Arabidopsis thaliana: one gene and its partners. The protein of the gene in region 1 interacts with the protein of each later gene in a pairwise test. Each region holds a gene or a part of one and is shown in the gene's direction. Other genes may lie near its edges. The genes, in order: AT2G24020, GIP2, EXL2 and AT5G09480.

What was found.
Region 2: the proteins of AT2G24020 (region 1) and GIP2 interact in a two-hybrid assay, tested with the Arabidopsis thaliana proteins (one large-scale study listed by BioGRID).
Region 3: the proteins of AT2G24020 (region 1) and EXL2 interact in a two-hybrid assay, tested with the Arabidopsis thaliana proteins (one large-scale study listed by BioGRID).
Region 4: the proteins of AT2G24020 (region 1) and AT5G09480 interact in a two-hybrid assay, tested with the Arabidopsis thaliana proteins (one large-scale study listed by BioGRID).

What each region holds. Positions count from the first base shown.
Region 1 is NC_003071.7:10,216,479-10,221,537, reverse strand, and holds AT2G24020 (Putative BCR, YbaB family COG0718), read left to right. Parts: upstream 1-2,069; 5' UTR 2,070-2,268; coding exon 2,269-2,329; intron 2,330-2,552; coding exon 2,553-2,695; intron 2,696-2,832; coding exon 2,833-2,933; intron 2,934-3,024; coding exon 3,025-3,064; intron 3,065-3,286; coding exon 3,287-3,358; intron 3,359-3,445; coding exon 3,446-3,502; intron 3,503-3,594; coding exon 3,595-3,669; 3' UTR 3,670-3,837; downstream 3,838-5,059. Other genes in the region: AT2G24030 (zinc ion binding / nucleic acid binding protein), read left to right, coding at 1-320, 410-544, 654-1,355; scpl23 (serine carboxypeptidase-like 23), read right to left, coding at 3,996-4,142, 4,215-4,320, 4,388-4,869, 4,945-5,033. UniProt on the Arabidopsis thaliana protein: Participates with ALB4 in thylakoid protein targeting. May function with specific subset of thylakoidal proteins. Binds to DNA and alters its conformation. May be involved in regulation of gene expression, nucleoid organization and DNA protection.
Region 2 is NC_003070.9:27,741,903-27,746,343, forward strand, and holds GIP2 (mitotic-spindle organizing 1B-like protein (DUF3743)), read left to right. Parts: upstream 1-2,746; 5' UTR 2,747-2,911; exon of another isoform or gene 2,912-3,110; 5' UTR 3,111-3,116; coding exon 3,117-3,320; 3' UTR 3,321-3,527; downstream 3,528-4,441. Other genes in the region: AT1G73770 (coiled-coil protein), read left to right, coding at 313-514, 681-1,054; AT1G73780 (Bifunctional inhibitor/lipid-transfer protein/seed storage 2S albumin superfamily protein), read left to right, coding at 1,970-2,266; SARD1 (Calmodulin binding protein-like protein), read right to left, coding at 3,859-4,058, 4,167-4,263, 4,387-4,441. UniProt on the Arabidopsis thaliana protein: Required for gamma-tubulin complex recruitment to the microtubule organizing centers (MTOCs). During mitosis, modulates gamma-tubulin complex localization, spindle stability and chromosomal segregation. Necessary for gametophyte development and embryogenesis.
Region 3 is NC_003076.8:25,701,361-25,706,294, forward strand, and holds EXL2 (EXORDIUM like 2), read left to right. Parts: upstream 1-2,288; 5' UTR 2,289-2,619; coding exon 2,620-3,537; 3' UTR 3,538-3,979; downstream 3,980-4,934. UniProt on the Arabidopsis thaliana protein: May play a role in a brassinosteroid-dependent regulation of growth and development.
Region 4 is NC_003076.8:2,949,656-2,953,950, reverse strand, and holds AT5G09480 (hydroxyproline-rich glycoprotein family protein), read left to right. Parts: upstream 1-2,249; 5' UTR 2,250-2,335; coding exon 2,336-2,770; 3' UTR 2,771-3,089; downstream 3,090-4,295. Other genes in the region: AT5G09490 (Ribosomal protein S19 family protein), read left to right, coding at 768-770, 868-1,016, 1,104-1,161, 1,325-1,573; DIC3 (dicarboxylate carrier 3), read left to right, coding at 3,438-3,864, 4,124-4,295.

The sequences.
Region 1 (5,059 bases):
AACGAGAGCTTATAGCTGAGGTTTTACAAGAGATGGCTATCGAGAGAGAAATGGCGATACGACGAGTTTCAGACACGGAGATGTCTCTAGAGGAAAAGCTAACTATGTGGATCAATCAAAGGAAGCTTCCAAATCAAAATCAGAATCAGTTCAACAACTTTTTCAGACAGAAGTATAGTTACATTGATTCTCTGATCAACACAGGCTCTTACAACAGTCTACTTACATCACCAATGATGCAATTGCCTCAACTTCAGCAAATGTCTGAAGCTACCGGAACATCAATGTTGGAGTCTAATAAAGAGAATTTGATTGTATTGGTGAGTTCTTTAAGTAATGGTAAACATAAATGATAGAGTATATATAAGCCTTTGTTTCATATGTGTTCTCTTTGATTTCTCTATTGCAGAATAGAGCTGATATTATAGGAGCTAAGCCTAAAGCAGACAGTGTTGGTACCATGCAATTGCCTAAACTTCAGCAAATGCCTGAGGCTACAGGAACATCAGTTTTGGAGTCTAACAAAGAGCAGTTTATTGTATTGGTAAGTGTTTTACTACGAGTGTGATATCTCATCTTTTCTATCCACGTACTTTCCTTACTTGCTTATAACAAATCCTGACCATATGTGTTCTCTTTGATTACTATTGCAGGCTAGAGCTGATCCTGTAGGAGAAAAGCGTAAAGCAGAGGATATTCAAACTGGTTTGAACGAAGATCTTCAAGTGAAAAGGCCGAAAGCAAAAGAATCAGAAGCAAAGGCGATGTCTTTGGAAACCGGAGAAATAGTCTCTTCGAAGGTTCCTTGTTCAGGGAAACTTGGCAGTGGAAAGAAAGCAGAAGGTAAGCTAAGAACTAACCAGAAGTTTTGGTGTGAGATTTGTAAAGTTGGGACCTATTGTCAAATAGTCATGAGGGATCATGAGTTAGGTAAAAAGCATAAGGCTGCTGTTACACAACAGAATGAGACACCTGAAGCTGCTTCAACCTCCTTATCCCCTGCTTCCGTTACAGCACCGCAACCAGAAGCCATTAGAGTATGTGAAAATGCTAATCCGCAGGGTCAAAAAGTAGATGAAATTGCGGCGAAAGAAACAACGGGAAAGAAGACAAAAGGTGAGAAGAAAAAGAAGGAAACGGTTTGGTGCAAAACTTGTAATATTCAGACGAATTCTGAGCAGACGATGAGGAATCATACGCTTGGGAAAAAACACATGGCTTTGCTTGAGAAACAGCAGAATAAACTCATTACAGTCCCAGTGAGATCTCTGAATGCTGATCCAGGACAGAAAGAATCAGTATCTCTAGCAATGGATGATACACAAGGTAAGGTTCATTGCTTGGAGAAGTCATAGAAGATTCTTTGTAACTTTGTTAGATTATTTTATATCAACTTTTTTTACCAAAAAAACCTTTGTTAGGTCATGACAATATACCATGAGGAATCAGAGATTGAATTCATGAATTTATTTTTATTTTTTCTTATGCAATGTGACAGTAGGAGATTTGCATGATGTTTTTTTTGTTGTGAGATTGAGAATCATGAGAATAATAACCAATGCCATTAGAGAGACCAGAATAAGTGTATAGATCATGATTGCATTTTGGAGTGTGTGTTGTCTTATGCTTTTATCATATGTTTTACAAACTTACAACTGTACAAGCAGAGTATGTTTGTTTGGACATGATACGATGATAAATGTCTTCTTTCAGGAGAGGCCCAAAATGGTTTGCCTAGAGGTATTTCAAATGTTTGGGGTGAGTCTCTCTATACATAGAGGGTATATAGACAACTCCACAATCAATCAATAGTTCTTCTCGCAATACAGCTCCACAAGACCACAACACATATGACCATGTCCCATACATAGAACCACGAAAGATGGTTCTATTGTAGCATGTTTTTTTTTTTTTTTGGTTTAATGAAGCATGTTACAATCTCTGATAAAGTTTCATCTATACTAGAAATTGAATTTTTCGAAAATCGAATCAATATCTGATGTAAGAACATTTTACGTTTGATCACTCAATTTCGTACTGAAAGTGTATAAACTTTAAAGTTGCGACTTCTTCACTAGAAAAGAATGGTACAAAAACAATCTAAGCTCAAAAAAAGAGTTAAAGTGACGTGGCGCAAAATCATTGGTTAAAAGCTTCAACAAACACAGAAGCTACGAACAAGTTGCCCGGAAAAAATTAGCTTCCGGTTTTATCTTCTCGAATTTCAGAAAAAAAGCCCTTCTCTAATATCTCTCTACTCGTACAACAATGGCGTCGATGGCTGCAACCACCAATTTCACCAAATCTATGCTCTTTCCATTCTCTCATGGTTAGTCTCTCCTAAATCCCTACTTCTATCTCTCGCTTAAGGTTTCGTGACACTGGATTTTGAGTCTTTATGTATCTGTCGTACATTAGGTTTCATCTGAATTTGCTTAATCTTTCGTAATTAGACTTTTCTATTCCATAATTGGAGGAATTGAAGCGTAATTTTGTATTTATAAGTGTTTTTGGGATTGAAATGGGCTTTAGTAATTTTTTGGTTTGAATAGTTTCAGGAAATGCGAGCTTGAATTCGCAGAGAAGAACATGGCCAAAGCAGTACAAGTCTAAAAATGGTTACAGGTCTCTTCGAGTGAATGGATTATTTGGAGGTGGAAACAAAGATAATAACAGTGAAGATGGACAATCAAAGGTTGGTACATTACATTGGTTTTTTCAAATATCAAACAGATTCTGCAATAGGTGAACATTTTAAGTTAGGCTTCATGTTGTAAAGATTCAAAGTTTATGATTTTGGAACTAATGAAGTTTGTGTGTGATCTTTCCTAGGCAGGAATATTTGGTAATATGCAGAATATGTATGAGACTGTGAAGAAAGCTCAAATGGTTGTTCAAGTGGAAGCTGTACGTGTTCAAAAAGAGTTAGCTGCGTAAGTCCGGCACATTTATCATACAAAATTTGAGGAAGTTTTCTTCTATGAGTAATGAGTTTTGCATGTTGGTTTTGTTCCAATTTCGCAGCGCAGAATTTGATGGTTATTGTGCAGGCGAGCTTGTCAAGGTCAGTTTAGAGCTTGTTTTGGCCTTAAGATAGATCAATGCACATAATAGATCAGTGAAGTATTAACTAACGTTTACTTGATGATGTAAGAACTGTGTTTTCTGATTTGTTAGTCTTTGGATGATTTGGCAAGAACTCCACTCTAGAATCTCAAAACTTTGTTTAGTCTTTATTGTTTCTGTTACAAAGTCTGATGACCTAAACCTTATGAATTTGTGTCAGGTTACGTTATCAGGTAACCAGCAACCAATCCGTACTGATATTACCGAGGCAGCAATGGAACTAGGTTCCGAAGTGAGTAACCATACGTACCTTGTTATGGAACAGTCAAAGCTAATTCATCAGTTTCTCTTGTTGATGTTGTGTGTTTTCCTTTGGCAGAAACTATCACAACTTGTCACAGAAGCATACAAGGACGCACACGCCAAGAGTGTGGTGGTATAGCAATTTGCAGACCATTTATCACAATGCAACTAAAGTATTTGTTTCTATCCATTTCTTCTAATTGAACTTTGTGAATTTTTTCACAGGCTATGAAAGAGAGAATGAGTGACCTTGCGCAGAGCTTAGGAATGCCACCGGGTCTCAGCGAAGGAATGAAGTAAGAAGCTGTTTTTGTTGTTTCATTTCAACTTTCAGGTATGAGAGGTTCGGCTTTTTTTGTTTGTTTGTATATCAGTCAGGCAGAAGCAAAGAGCTTTGTACTCTACTCTTATGGAATTATATATAAAAGATTTGAAACTTTTGGTTTTCTGCAATTTTATTCCCAAGGTATCAACACAATTGTTCTAGTATCAACATATATCTTCTTCGAATACAAGAATGCTTTTAGTGTCTTATGAAATCAAGTTGATTTGAAACATAAAAATTTCAAAAGAAAACACCGAGTTAACTCGGGTTTTGGAGGGAGCCTTCTATCTTATGTGTGTGACTAATAAGATCTTGGAAGCTCTTTGCCGGCCAAGAACGATCTTAAAAGAGTGAGAGCACGCTCGGGTTGCAACACCGGCACTTCGTGGCCCGCCCCTCTTATCGTCGCAAAGGTAAGCCCCTCATATACCTCTGTCCATCCTCCCACCTGACACCACCACCATGAGAAATCACTAGCTCTGCATAATAAGAATAGAACCACGAATTTGATGAAAATTACCTGCTTTTCGGAGTACCAAGGGTACCAGGGAGTTTTCACCGGAAGATTGAGTTTACTGAGGGCAAGTCGAGTCCCAGTCACTGGAACCACTGCGTCTGTATCGCCACTACATCAACAAAATGTGGTTAAAGGACACGAAAGGTACTTTACTTGCAGCTAGTTTCATGGTTTACCTAAAGACCCAGATCCTCAAACCAGCGGCAGTGAGTTCCTTGTATATCGGCAACATTGAAAACTCGGAATCTTTCCAGTTGTTATTCACAACCATATTGCACAATGTCCACTTATAAGGAATGGAGGTAAGATTAGCGTGCATAGCTCGTTGCACATCAGGACGGTTGTAATATATCTCAGCGTAGCTTTCGGTACAAGGGTCGTACTCGTATTCCTCTACCAAAAGCCGTCCATGCAGGAACTTGGTCTGGTTGGTTTGATGTACACATGAGGGTGAGTAGATGCTGTACCCATTGACTTTGCCAAACTCTCTGTAGGCGAAGTAGAGTGCCCAATTGCACTTGTCCGAGGTTTTATCCGCAGTGAAGCTGCAGTGTTTGAGGATAGACTTGTAAGTTTTGTCAGAGATCATTGCGTGTGACCACGCATACATGGCGGCTCCTAATCTGTCGTAATGCTTGTCCATATCTCCATTTCCCACCTGTGCAAAAGAATATATATGCATTAAGGAGGGATTAAGGTTTCGGAAATGTGATAAATAGAACCGTAGTTTTACCATGAATCCTTTGAGGTTAATGATGGGTGTATTGTTGAAAGCTTTGTTGTAGAGATGGATCTTTTTGGCAAGCTGAGGAACATAATGACCTATAAAAGATATAGACATGAAAATA
Region 2 (4,441 bases), on another chromosome or scaffold:
TGGATCGAGATTAAAGGAATAATAAAAGGTGATAAATCGTCGAAAATATTTGGTGCGTCACATAACTGATTAGTCGTCCAAATTTGAGCGAAAATTGAAGTTTGGGCTAGAATGGGCTGGGCCTGTATGTGCGCTGTTCCATAAACGACAATGAAAACGGACAGGTCATCTCGGGCCGATCCGGTCTGATCAGTTATGAAAACCGGAAACGAAGAAGAGCGGTTAATCTGTTAACAGATTAAAAAAAAAAACTATTGGCTCTTGATTCAAATCCCTAATCCTCTGATAAACCCTAGTCTTGAGGCGAATCCCATGAGACGATTTCTGCAGAGAGTTCCCAGTTTACTGGCTCGAAATATCCTTCACTCACCCGCAAATTTCCGCCATTTGAGAATCAACAACCCTCGTGTTGTTGTTCCTCTCTTCGAACGAGCTATTTCCCGGTTCGTCTTCTTCTCTTCCGAGTCCGACTCGTCGCGTGGTTTCAGAACTGAAGAGGTTCTTTCTAAAGAAGGTGACATTTCTTCAACTCAACTTCTTTTGTTTGGTTCTCAAGAAAATGTACAGTTTTGAATGAAAAGGAAGAGAATTTTGCAATGACAGAGTTAGCTGATCAGCTCATAATTTTTCATGTAAAGATTATAATTTTGCTTACTTTCTTAATCCAATTGGTATTTCAGAGCTGAAAAAAAGAATTCAAAGCTTTTTGGATGATGGAAATGAGGATGCTATACCTGATTTATTTGAGGCATTGATGATTAGGAAGTTATCAGGGAAGCACGATGATAGTGATGATGAAGTGATGGATGTGGTGCGTAAGTATCCAGTTAACGATGCACATAAGGTTGACGATATTGACTCTGATATTGAGAGTGATGGCCATGGTGATTCGTCTGATTCAGATATTGAGAGTGATGACTTGAGAGATGGTGATTCGTCTGATTCCGATGTAGAGTTTGATGGTTTCAATGATGTTGGCTTGTCTGATGTCAATATTAAGACTGATGCCCTGAAAGCTAATCGCTCGTCTTATTCTTACTCTGAAAGTGATTAACACATGGTAAGTTTTGGATTTCGCACCATACGGTACTCGCAAAGAGAACATTTTCTTCTGTATTTTACAGTCTCTTATTTTTTTGTCACATTTTGCATTTTCTACTTGTATAACTTGATTAAATGGATATACAAATTATTTAGTACTTTAGAGATTTTCTAACACTGTGCTTGTTAGAGACTATTTAATCTTTAAGCGTGTGATTGCTTGCTTAATCATGTGTCTTGGGCTTTGTTTATCCTATTCATTATGTGCTAAGTATGAAAACCTTGGTGGCTGATACCACATGGAGAATATGGATTCTAGAAAAGTGTCTGAGTAAACTTAATATATACTGCAGCTTATCTTCTTTTATTCTTTCATGGCCTGATATATGTTTAACATTGTGATCAATGAACTCTAATTGGTCTTGGTTTTGGGCCACAGACTTATGCACTACATTGAAGATTTTGAAAGGAAGCAACTGCCTAGTGAATGGAAACAGATCAGTTTTTGGTCCATGTTGGCTGTAAGTTCTGCCTTTTGAATATAATTAGAAATTTAAGTCATATTTTGTGCTTAGTACAATAGTAATGAAGTAAAATATATAATTATGAAGGTGTTCTCATTACTTTGTTTAAGTGTCAACAAATTCATATACCTTCACTGGGGGTAGCCGAAAGCTGACATCTATTTTGGTTACACGTGGTTTCATAACTTCTCCAAAATGGTGCCTAGGTGTTTTTATGCTTTGTCCGAGCCTTTTAGAAAAAAGTTAATCTCTTTTAGACATATCGAGATCTCCTGCAACCACAAACTCTCGTTTGAGTAACGTGACTCACTCAAAGACATTTTCTTCTATAAATAGAACGAGAGAAACCCACTTTAAACTCCAAACCAAATATCTTCTTCTTCTTTCTATAACTTAGTGAGACAATGAAGGGTTCTTGCACAAAACCAGTGTTTTTCACTTGTACAATCCTTCTCATTTTAATTGTTGCCCAAGAAAACAGAGTCGCTGCAGTAGATCCATGTAATCCTGCGCAGCTGAGTCCATGCTTGGAGACCATAATGAAAGGGTCTGAGCCATCGGATCTGTGTTGCAGCAAGGTGAAGGAGCAACAGCATTGTATCTGCCAGTACTTGAAGAACCCTAACTTCAAATCTTTCCTTAACTCCCCAAACGCCAAAATAATCGCCACTGATTGTCATTGTCCGTATCCGAAATGCTAGTCCCAGTATTTCGTTCTAGTTTTCGATGTTCTGTTTCTTGCTTTCAAGACCAAAAAAGGTGTTCTGTTCTGTTCGCTCATCATCGATGGTTTTTCTACTTCAAGTTTCTTACTTTTGAGTTTGGCTTTCCATTAATGTGTTTGTCGTCAAGGAATAAATCTTGATCATCACATATTCACATTGATATGTTTTTAAGAAATTTCGGATAATTCGACTAACATAAGCTACTTAAAAGTTAAAAGTTCCAATTTCAAGGATATCACTACAAAATAAGTCTCTAAATTTGGATGCAATTTTGTCAATTTTGGCCGAATTAATCATAACAAGGTCTTGAATCCCTTGATTCCGACAAAAAAGAATCCCTTGATTAAAACTAGTTCAGAGACTTCGATTGTATTAAAACCGGCGGATTTTATTTAACCGACCGATTTGATATGAACCAGTAAATATACTCTGAACCGGCCAAAGGTTTATTTTCTTAAAAAAAACAACCCTAGATTTCTAAATTCTAATTGTTGGCCCATTTTCGCCTCTTCTTCTTCGATCACGAGATCGAGAATCGTTTCTCTCAATTATCTCAAGCTCTAAGATCTCACTTCTTCTCTCTCAAACTCGACGCCGTTCGTTTTCTCCGTCGATTAATCGGTTCGTTTTGTTCCTTAACCTTTTTCCGATCTAATGTATCTCTTGATCCGTCGGCAAGTCTCCGATTTCCACTTTAAGGGTTTCCATTCTCTGTACATCCATGGAGATCCGTACAAGAATAGAGTAGATATTCATATGTAAATTGAATCGTTTCCGAAATTGATATTTTTTTGTTCTGGATGATGTTTGGTGGTTTCAGAGTATTATGAATCAGGAAGCAGCTGAAACAGCGAGAGAGTCACTGGAGCTGGTGTTTCGGATGTCGAACATCTTGGAGACAGGTCTTGATCGACATACTTTGTCTGTTCTTATAGCTCTTTGCGATATTGGTCTTAACCCTGAGGCTCTCGCTACTCTCGTCAAGGAGCTTCGTAGGGATTCTGCTACAACAACAACTACGGTTGATTAAGAAGATGCCTAATCAAATAGTATCATTCATGCTTGTTTTCTAAGTTTCAATTTCATTATGCTATTGATGTGTAAATTAGGGTTGGTAAGGTAATTGAATAGAGAGTTTCAGAGACAAATTGGTAATAAGTATTTGAGTCATCCCCACTCAATCCTTTTGAGAGGCTTTCTTTAAGTAAATCACAAAGTTACCCTCATATTCTTGATTTCTTTTTTTAGTCAATACTTTCATCAAGTACGTACATATACAGCGGAATCAATTTTTCTAAAACGTAAAAACGTAAAAATTTGTTGAACGTGAATGGTAAAAACAACGTTTTCATACAACTGTGAAAACGTGAACAAGTGGTATACCATCCAACTAAAAATATAACTCTAAACTTCACACTTTTATGTACAATCATGATCAGCAGATCTAGAATACATGTTTTACCATCATGTACGTAGTAGTAGTTTAAAGTTTAAACCCTTATTTAGAAAGAGTCCAATCTCGGCCAAGGCACTATGGCGTGTCTTCCAATACTAACGTAGATGAGGATTTAGAAAGGGTTTATATGATTTTGAGACGAAGATCCGGTGAAACATATATTGAATTCCGCTGGAGTCGTTATATACCCTTCGTTTACTATCTCCAAATTGTTTGTAGATCTCTCTTGAACATATCCGTTTTGTTGATATGATTTATCGATTTCGATGTTTTGGTAGTGGCTCGCAGCATATTGTTGGTCCAAATCATCACCTATATAATCAAAATTACATTGTTGTAACATACTATATAATCAACGATGTTTCGCAATTATAGAAAAACTGAAATGGTGTTTATGTTGACACTATTTTAAAGTAATACCTTGTGTCAAAAGAGCAGCCTCGTTCGCTGTTCGTTCGCCCACTTCTAAAAAGTTCCCCTTTGAGTAAGCATCTCGAACTAAGTTCTTAACGTAGGGCTGCAACAAAACATTACCATAGATGAATTAAAAAAATAAATACAGTTTCTAACTAATAAACAATCATTGAGCTATCAATAATTGCTTAACTTCTTTAATAGAGAGAAAATGACCATTCAATACCTGGTTGAGGGATTCTTGACTAGAGAGAACATGACCATCGATAAGTGCTTTCATA
Region 3 (4,934 bases), on another chromosome or scaffold:
AATTTCTTTATGGGTATCAAATTCATTAATTCCGCGTTAAACAATTCTTTTTAGTAGTTTAGTAAATATTGTGACTTAAAACACTGTCTAATAATCGTGACACTAATTATATCAGTTGGTTATATATTGTACATGTATCTTATCCAGTGACATAAACCGAAAAGGTTGAGATGATAGATACAAGAAATGTACTGGTCCTTGTGAATTTGGAACGTCGGCCAAAAAACATAATTAACTTTTTGTTAATCGTGATACGAAACATAATTAACCTCTCACAATTTTAAAGCTCTCCTTTAATATAAAATGATACTGTATTCACTAAATCATTCGACTAAACTAATCATTAATATAAAGTGGACATTCTTTTTAGAGCAAGTTTATCGTAAGCTAAGTCCACCATTGGCGATGTTCCTAAAATCGAAAATTACTTCTTCTTTTTTTTTTCAATTCGACGTACGCATAGTTAACCCCGACGCTCGAACTCAATATTGTGTGTTTCAAATGTTAACAAGTCAAGTATAACGATATATAAGGTTTTTACTCGACCTAATTATACGAAATTGTTTTTACGTTCAAAGCGCAATTATATTTTTAAAGAATCAAGAGCCAAGCTAAATGATGATCAAAGTGTGTGGTTCTATCCTACCAAAAGTGACCGGTGCATCCATCCAAGTATATACACGACAAAGTAAACTCATGTGTCACTCTTCAAAGTAAACTCATCCAAGTAACAATATTGTAACTTTTGCTATTCATTTATCACATAACTAGAGTAGAAAAATTTCACGTGAGAAGATATATTTTGTAGAGGCAGAGAGAGAGCTAAAGTGGATTACTACGAATCCTATTATGCTATTACTACGGAGTACGTCTGACACGTGACTTATCCTTCTTTTAAGTTTTAATAAACAGTACTTGTATATGGGCCTCACATCACATACCCTCGTTTGATTTTCTATTTTTTTTATTTTTATTTTTAGTTATGTGAGCTCCTCCACTATAGAAGAAAACATAAAAATCTTCTTTATGCCAAAAAAGATGGTAATACAAAATAAAACGTGTTTTTTTTTCTTAGTGTGGAATATATACTTTTCGTATAACTTTTTTGTTAAATCAAACCAAAAAGAGTTTTTCAAAATAAAGCAAGAGTGGACCCTGAAGATGTAAAAGGCAATAATGGACTGTAAGAGCGTGGTTCGTACGCTACGTCGAGGCGTATCTTGCTTACTACACGACTGAACTAACTACTCGAGTGCACCCGTATATTTATATACATACACCTTAAGCTATAAGTATATAACTATACATAAATACACACACTGTTCTAGAGTAAAATACGTATGAATCTGTGGTCCCCACGGAGACCTAAAGGGACCTCCCCCAAGTAAAGTTGATTATGGCACACACACGGTATCATCAACCTCTCTGTGTACCTTTCTTAAAATCAGTGGCGCCTCTATGGAAGGAAAGGAAGGAACCTTCCCTAAATAATCCCAAATCTCTTTAATTCATTTCTTAATATATAGAATTCTTTTTTTTGGTATCAGAACCGTATTATTAGAACGAGTAATGGACTTTTCTTCTATTATATGGTCAAACAATTACTGCTCAATGTATTTGCGTATAGAGCATGTCCAATACCATGCCTCATGATGTGAGATTGCGAGGCGGAGTCAGAGAACGAGTTAAAGTGACGACGTTTTTTTTGTTTTTTTTGGGCATAGTGTAAAGTGATATTAAAATTTCATGGTTGGCAGGTGACTGAAAATAAAAATGTGTATAGGATGTGTTTATATGCTAGACGGAAAAATAGTTACTCAACTAATACAGATCTTTATAAAGAGTATATAAGTCTATGGTTAATCATGAATGGCAATATATAAGAGTAGATGAGATTTATGTTTATATTGAAACAAGGGAAAGATATGTGTAATTGAAACAATGGCAAAATATATAGTCAAATCAAACTGGTTTCTGATAATATATGTGTTGAATCAATGTATATCTTGGTATTCAAAACCAAAACAACTACAACCAATTTCTTTAAAAAACCAGTTGATCTAATAACTACATTTTAATACTAGTAGCTATTAGCTGAATTTCATAATCAATTTCTTGCATTAAAATTTAAAGTGGGTTTTGCATTTAAACTTACTCGGTTTGTATTAATAGACTTTCAAAGATTAAAAGAAAACTACTGCATTCAGAGAATAAAGCTATCTTACTAAACACTACTTTTAAAGTTTCTTTTTTCACTTATTAATCTTCTTTTACAAATGGATCTGTCTCTCTGCATGGCAAAATATCTTACACTAATTTTATTTTCTTTGTTTGATAACAAATTTATCGGCTAAGCATCACTTAAATTTAATACACGTTATGAAGACTTAAACCACGTCACACTATAAGAACCTTACAGGCTGTCAAACACCCTTCCCTACCCACTCACATCTCTCCACGTGGCAATCTTTGATATTGACACCTTAGCCACTACAGCTGTCACACTCCTCTCTCGGTTTCAAAACAACATCTCTGGTATAAATACCTCTGTATATCTTTATAAACCCCAAATCAAAACCTCTCCTATATCTCTTCAATCTGATATAACTACCCTTCTCAATGGCTTCTAATTACCGTTTTGCCATCTTCCTCACTCTCTTTTTCGCCACCGCTGGTTTCTCCGCCGCCGCGTTGGTCGAGGAGCAGCCGCTTGTTATGAAATACCACAACGGAGTTCTGTTGAAAGGTAACATCACAGTCAATCTCGTATGGTACGGGAAATTCACACCGATCCAACGGTCCGTAATCGTCGATTTCATCCACTCGCTAAACTCCAAAGACGTTGCATCTTCCGCCGCAGTTCCTTCCGTTGCTTCGTGGTGGAAGACGACGGAGAAATACAAAGGTGGCTCTTCAACACTCGTCGTCGGGAAACAGCTTCTACTCGAGAACTATCCTCTCGGAAAATCTCTCAAAAATCCTTACCTCCGTGCTTTATCCACCAAACTTAACGGCGGTCTCCGTTCCATAACCGTCGTTCTAACGGCGAAAGATGTTACCGTCGAAAGATTCTGTATGAGCCGGTGCGGGACTCACGGATCCTCCGGTTCGAATCCCCGTCGCGCAGCTAACGGCGCGGCTTACGTATGGGTCGGGAACTCCGAGACGCAGTGCCCTGGATATTGCGCGTGGCCGTTTCACCAGCCGATTTACGGACCACAAACGCCGCCGTTAGTAGCGCCTAACGGTGACGTTGGAGTTGACGGAATGATTATAAACCTTGCCACACTTCTAGCTAACACCGTGACGAATCCGTTTAATAACGGATATTACCAAGGCCCACCAACTGCACCGCTTGAAGCTGTGTCTGCTTGTCCTGGTATATTCGGGTCAGGTTCTTATCCGGGTTACGCGGGTCGGGTACTTGTTGACAAAACAACCGGGTCTAGTTACAACGCTCGTGGACTCGCCGGTAGGAAATATCTATTGCCGGCGATGTGGGATCCGCAGAGTTCGACGTGCAAGACTCTGGTTTGATCCAAGGGATGTGAGTAAGACACGTGGCATAGTAGTGAGAGCGATGACGAGATCTAGACGGCATGTGTAGTCAAAATCAAGTTGCACGCGAGCGTGTGTATAAAAAAATCTTTCGGGTTTGGGTCTCGGGTTTGGATTGTGGATAGGGCTCTCTCTTTGCTTTTTGTCGTTTTGTAATGACGTGTAAAAACTGTACTCGGAAATGTGAAGAATGCATATAAAATAATAAAAAATCATTTTGTTTCTACTTTATCAAATTTAATAATGCATTCGGTTTTGCAGCAAGAATGATCAAAGCTTGTATTAGTACTAATTAATTTATTTAAAGGTATCTGACCTTTTTAAAAAATGTTAGTGGGTATAGAGGATAATAATGTTATTTGTTGTATTTAATTTTGTAATAAAATTGATAACTAAAGAAAGGAAGATGTGTTGGGGCCTAGGAGACCAAATTGATTGCTTTGTAAGTACTCGTTTCATATTATTAGTAACTTTTGAATTTTTTTATGCATGATAATATGTTATCTGTAACTACAAATCTATCCTTAACTGTTTTAATGGCGACTAAAGTTTGTTCTCTTTGAACTAAACAAATCTATCTTTATTTGTTAGGTAACAACAAATAACTAAACATTCAAATTTGGAAACTTCCGAATTCTTAAAGCAATCAAAATACCTCAAAATGGGGGTAATATTTATTATTGTCAGGTGAAAAAGTAATCTAGTGAATTTAATCACCGAAATTCCTACAAATTTTAGTAATTTAGGTATTAAGTATTTTCTGAAAATGGTCAGTGGGGTTGGTGAAGAAGTTCTTCTCCCTTGCCTCCGTTCTTTATGCCAAAGAAAACTTTGAAACATTTAAGTATCGAAAAGGCTCATCTAGATTCAATCAATCATTTATATGCCTTTTATTTTATTTATCAGTATGTAGCTTATATATACTGATTTTGATCATGACATAATTTATCATGCATTCTGTATAATAATAAACCTGATTAAGTTGTAGTGGATCCGGACTTTCGGCTATATGTGGAAATAAATAAGCTAGTGACGAATTGAGGATAATGCTAAATAAAATACACTTTGTTATATCTTTTAGGGTTACGACACATATATAATAGATTTTAAATAAAATTCGTGGCTGTGTGTATTAATGATTAGAAAATTATGTAAGCATACACTTTTTACAAGGATGTTTTGTGTAAATTTGAAATTTCCAAATTCTTATGGAATATATTAATTTATATCCAAATGAAAATTTATTTTGATCATAAATTTTAAAGTACCTGAAATAGTTCATGTTGTCTCTATGTATTTTGGAAAAAGTACAAGGTTATTCGTATATTTAAAAACTTAATAACCGAAAAATTGGCTCACCTATATGATTGAATTCA
Region 4 (4,295 bases), on another chromosome or scaffold:
CTCCTTTAGATTTTGTTCAAACTCTTGTTCATGCCTTCAAATAATACAGAGCTTTTTATTTATAATCTATTAAACTTTGCTCTGTTTATTGAGTATTACTTTAAATTTAGAAAATAATTCAGGATTTATAGATAGATATCTTTCAATTGCATTTTTAAACTGCATATATTAACTTCAAAAAAAAAAAAAAATCAATATCTGGATTGCTTAGTTTTTTTTCTTTGTATTGCAGATCGATGGTTGTATATTGAAAATAAAAAATAACACAATGACCCTATTTATAAATAGAAGAAAATTTCAATTTCTTTTTTGAAATTCACAAACTATATATCTATTTCTATAAGATATCTGTACATAATTTCCTTGTATTTCGAAGATAAATACAAAATGTATGACCAATTTTATCCTAAATCAGTTAATTTTACATTAAACTAATAATTAAGTTTTGATTTTTTGGGGGAAAATTGTGTATTTATATGTTTTAATTATCAGTTTTTATAAGGTAAGAAAAAAAGAAGTTTTTCTATTATAAGGGAAGAAAAATATTTAAATATTGATTCATATGTTATTTTAGAAAGACAATAATGTAATAATTGGTAAATATTTATTGACGTTTCCTTAAACAGAAACACTGTAGGATCTATAATACATCTGTGTATATATATATATATATATATATATATTGGGTGCCAAGTTATGTCTCTTGTCGTATCTCCATAGCAAAACCCTAGTTGCAGTCACTTTCCCGGCTTCTCAAACCAAGAACAATGGTTAGTTTCTTGATCTCCATCTCTTTAAACCTTAATTATTCGATTGTTAGATCCTTGAACCCATCATGGTCTTAAATTTCTCTGTCGAAATCCGTAGGCTGAAGTCGAACCAGATGTTTCCGCAGCTGCTCTTGCGAAGAAGAGAACGTTCAAAAAGTTTTCCTTCAAAGGAGTCGATCTCGATGCTCTTCTTGACATGCCCACTGATGATCTTGTCGAGCTCTTCCCTTCCCGTATAAGAAGAAGGTTTTGATCCCACCAAAAATTTTGGTAGATTATATAACTCTTGTTTTAAATGATTGGTTTTGTTTAATTATGTTGATTATTTTGTAGGATGAGTAGAGGATTAACGAGGAAGCCTATGGCTCTCATCAAGAAATTGCGCAAAGCGGTAAAACTCTAACTTTCCAATATAAATCTCTGTTGTTATTGTGTCATAGTTGTTATTAGTCTGTGATCTCCCAACATAACAATAATTTTAGTTAGGATCTGCCTTTTGATTGGTTGGCTTTGATTATTATAATAACACTAGTCTCTAATTTACTTTAAACCAGAAACTAGATGCACCAGCTGGTGAGAAGCCCGAAGTAGTGAGAACCCATCTAAGGAACATGGTGATTATGCCTGAAATGATTGGAAGCATCATTGGTGTGTACAATGGAAAGACTTTTAACCAAATCGAGATCAAACCGGAGATGATTGGACATTACCTTGCGGAATTCTCAATCACTTACAAACCCGTTAGGCACGGCAAGCCCGGTCATGGTGCTACACACTCCTCTAGGTTTATCCCTCTCAAGTGAAGCCATTTCAAGACTTCATTCTGCTTTTACAATTTCTTTTGTTTTGCTCATCTAAATCTATCTTCTTATCATCATGTCTCTGACACTCTAGTGTCTTTAAACTTTTCTTATTATCGTAAAAAAAATTCTTGGTGATTTTCTCTATAATACTTAATACCATTATGAGTTTGGACTTGAGTTAGTCTTTAATTTTTTTTTTTTTTTATCTCAGTCTTATTTTTTATTTTATTTTATAAGTCTTAAAATTATTTGATTTTGATCCTTATATATTTTAATAATCTACATAATGCGTAAAAATACACTTTTCACTTGAAACGGTTACAAGATAAAATAATAAAATCATATGTAAATGTATTAATAATGAATGTTCACAGGTAAAGAAGGGGTGATGCATATGAGACGTAAAATACAATATAGGTATTGCTAACTTTAAGATTTCTTGTAATGTTTAGTATCAATAGCTTTAAAACAAGTATATATATTAGGTTCGAAAGTAAACTTAAAAGGGGTTATACAACTAAGACGTATAATGAAATATAGGTGAGTTTGTTGAAGACTAACATCACATTCTCACAATCGTGCAGTGAGATCTTCTCACCAAATTTTTTTGACTCTTATGAATCTACATTCTAAGATCTCTCTCATCTCAATATTATTTAAGAAACCATTCTGTAAACAATATATAGCAAAACACAAACTCTCTATACTCACAACATTGTTTAACTCATCTTTCTAAGTTGGTTTCGATTCAAGAATATCACAATGACTAATGTTCGCCTTCCTATTCTCGTCTCCTCGGTCTTGTTCCTTGTCTTTATTTCATCGTCCCTCTTGTTCCCTACACCTAGTTTTGCTGCTAGAGTAAGTCATTCTCTGGTGCAAGAAGAGGTCAAAAAGGTTCCAGAATACACAGAACCTGAGGAGCCGGAAGTTCCAGAAGAGCCGGAGCTGCCCTCACCGGAGGAGCCTGAGATTCCAGAAGAGCCTGAGATTCCAGAAGAGCCTGAGGTTCCTGGAGAACCCGAAGTTCCTGAAGAGCCCGAAGAACCAGAAGAGCCAGAAGGGTCAACATTTGAATTTCCATCATGGTTTCCGAGCTTTCCTATTCCCGGTGTTAATGGCGGTTTGCCAAAGACTGAAAAGACAAAACCTACATCAACAGTTGAAGAGGTTAACGTTTCTAACAAGAAGCCATAGATCAATGGGTAAAGAACGTCAAATGATTATATAAACTATATATGCAATTATAGTTTTGGTTTGTGTTTGGTTAAAGATGAGAGATTACATATGTATTACAGTATTAGAGTCCTCACCATGTCATGATTGAGTCTCTAAACGCTCCTGATATAATCTCGTACTAATTCTCTCTTGTAATATGTATATCTCTTGTGGTACAAAAAATATATATATAACTCTTAAGTAAATCATGTAATGTAAGATATTTAATTAAAGATATAATGTGTCAATTGTCGGTGTATATGACGTTCGTCTTAATGAAACATCAAATTTTATGAGTAGATGTTAGATATAGAACATTGGTTTCATTGACCAATATTGGTTTATTCCTCTAGCTTCAATTATTCTTTTTCTGTAATGCCAAGGTGTGCATCAAGACAAAACAAGAAACATTGTGCTAAAAGCTGGAACCCGTAATTCAGGACTAGTACACAAACACAACTACTCGTTGCATTATTTTCTTCTCAAGTAGTTTGTCTTCTTCCATTCCAACTTGTTCAATTTCATTTCTTCTTCTCCAAACATTTTATTACAAAAGATCTATTATCTCCCAAACTCTTCTTTTCTTTCAATTCCCATTCCTCAAAACATTCTCTCCTTACAATAAAATCCTCCGGTAATCGTTTCAATGGGCTTCAAACCATTTCTTGAAGGTGGCATCGCCGCAATCATCGCCGGAGCTCTGACTCACCCATTAGACCTCATCAAAGTCCGTATGCAGCTTCAAGGCGAACATTCTTTCTCGCTCGACCAAAACCCTAACCCTAATCTTAGCCTTGATCATAATCTTCCCGTGAAACCTTACCGACCCGTTTTCGCTCTTGACTCTCTCATCGGCAGCATTTCCTTATTACCCTTACACATTCACGCGCCGTCTTCTTCCACGCGCTCCGTCATGACCCCTTTCGCCGTAGGGGCACACATTGTCAAAACCGAAGGACCCGCCGCTCTCTTCTCCGGCGTCTCCGCCACCATCCTCCGTCAGATGCTTTACTCTGCCACCCGTATGGGTATATACGACTTTCTTAAACGAAGGTGGACTGATCAACTCACCGGTAATAATACTAAACTCGATCGGCAACAATATTACTCAAAAAATAATTTTGGTTTTTATTCGGTTTGGTTTGGTTTGATTACACTAAAAGTCGTTTACAGTTCTCGGTTATTGGTTTTAAATAAGAAAACCAATGGATTTATAAACAAATGCTGGTTCGGTTTCGATCTTAAACAGTTTCGGTTTGTTTGGTTCGAATTTTTTCCATATTATTACACAAAAGATCAAATAAATTAAACGTAAACGATAATTCCAAACAGGTAACTTCCCATTGGTAACCAAGATCACAGCTGGACTCATCGCAGGAGCCGTTGGATCAGTCGTCGGGAATCCTGCTGACGTGGCGATGGTGAGAATGCAAGCCGACGGAAGCTTGCCGTTAAACCGTCGCAGAAACTACAAGAGCGTCGTGGACGCGATCGACAGGATCGC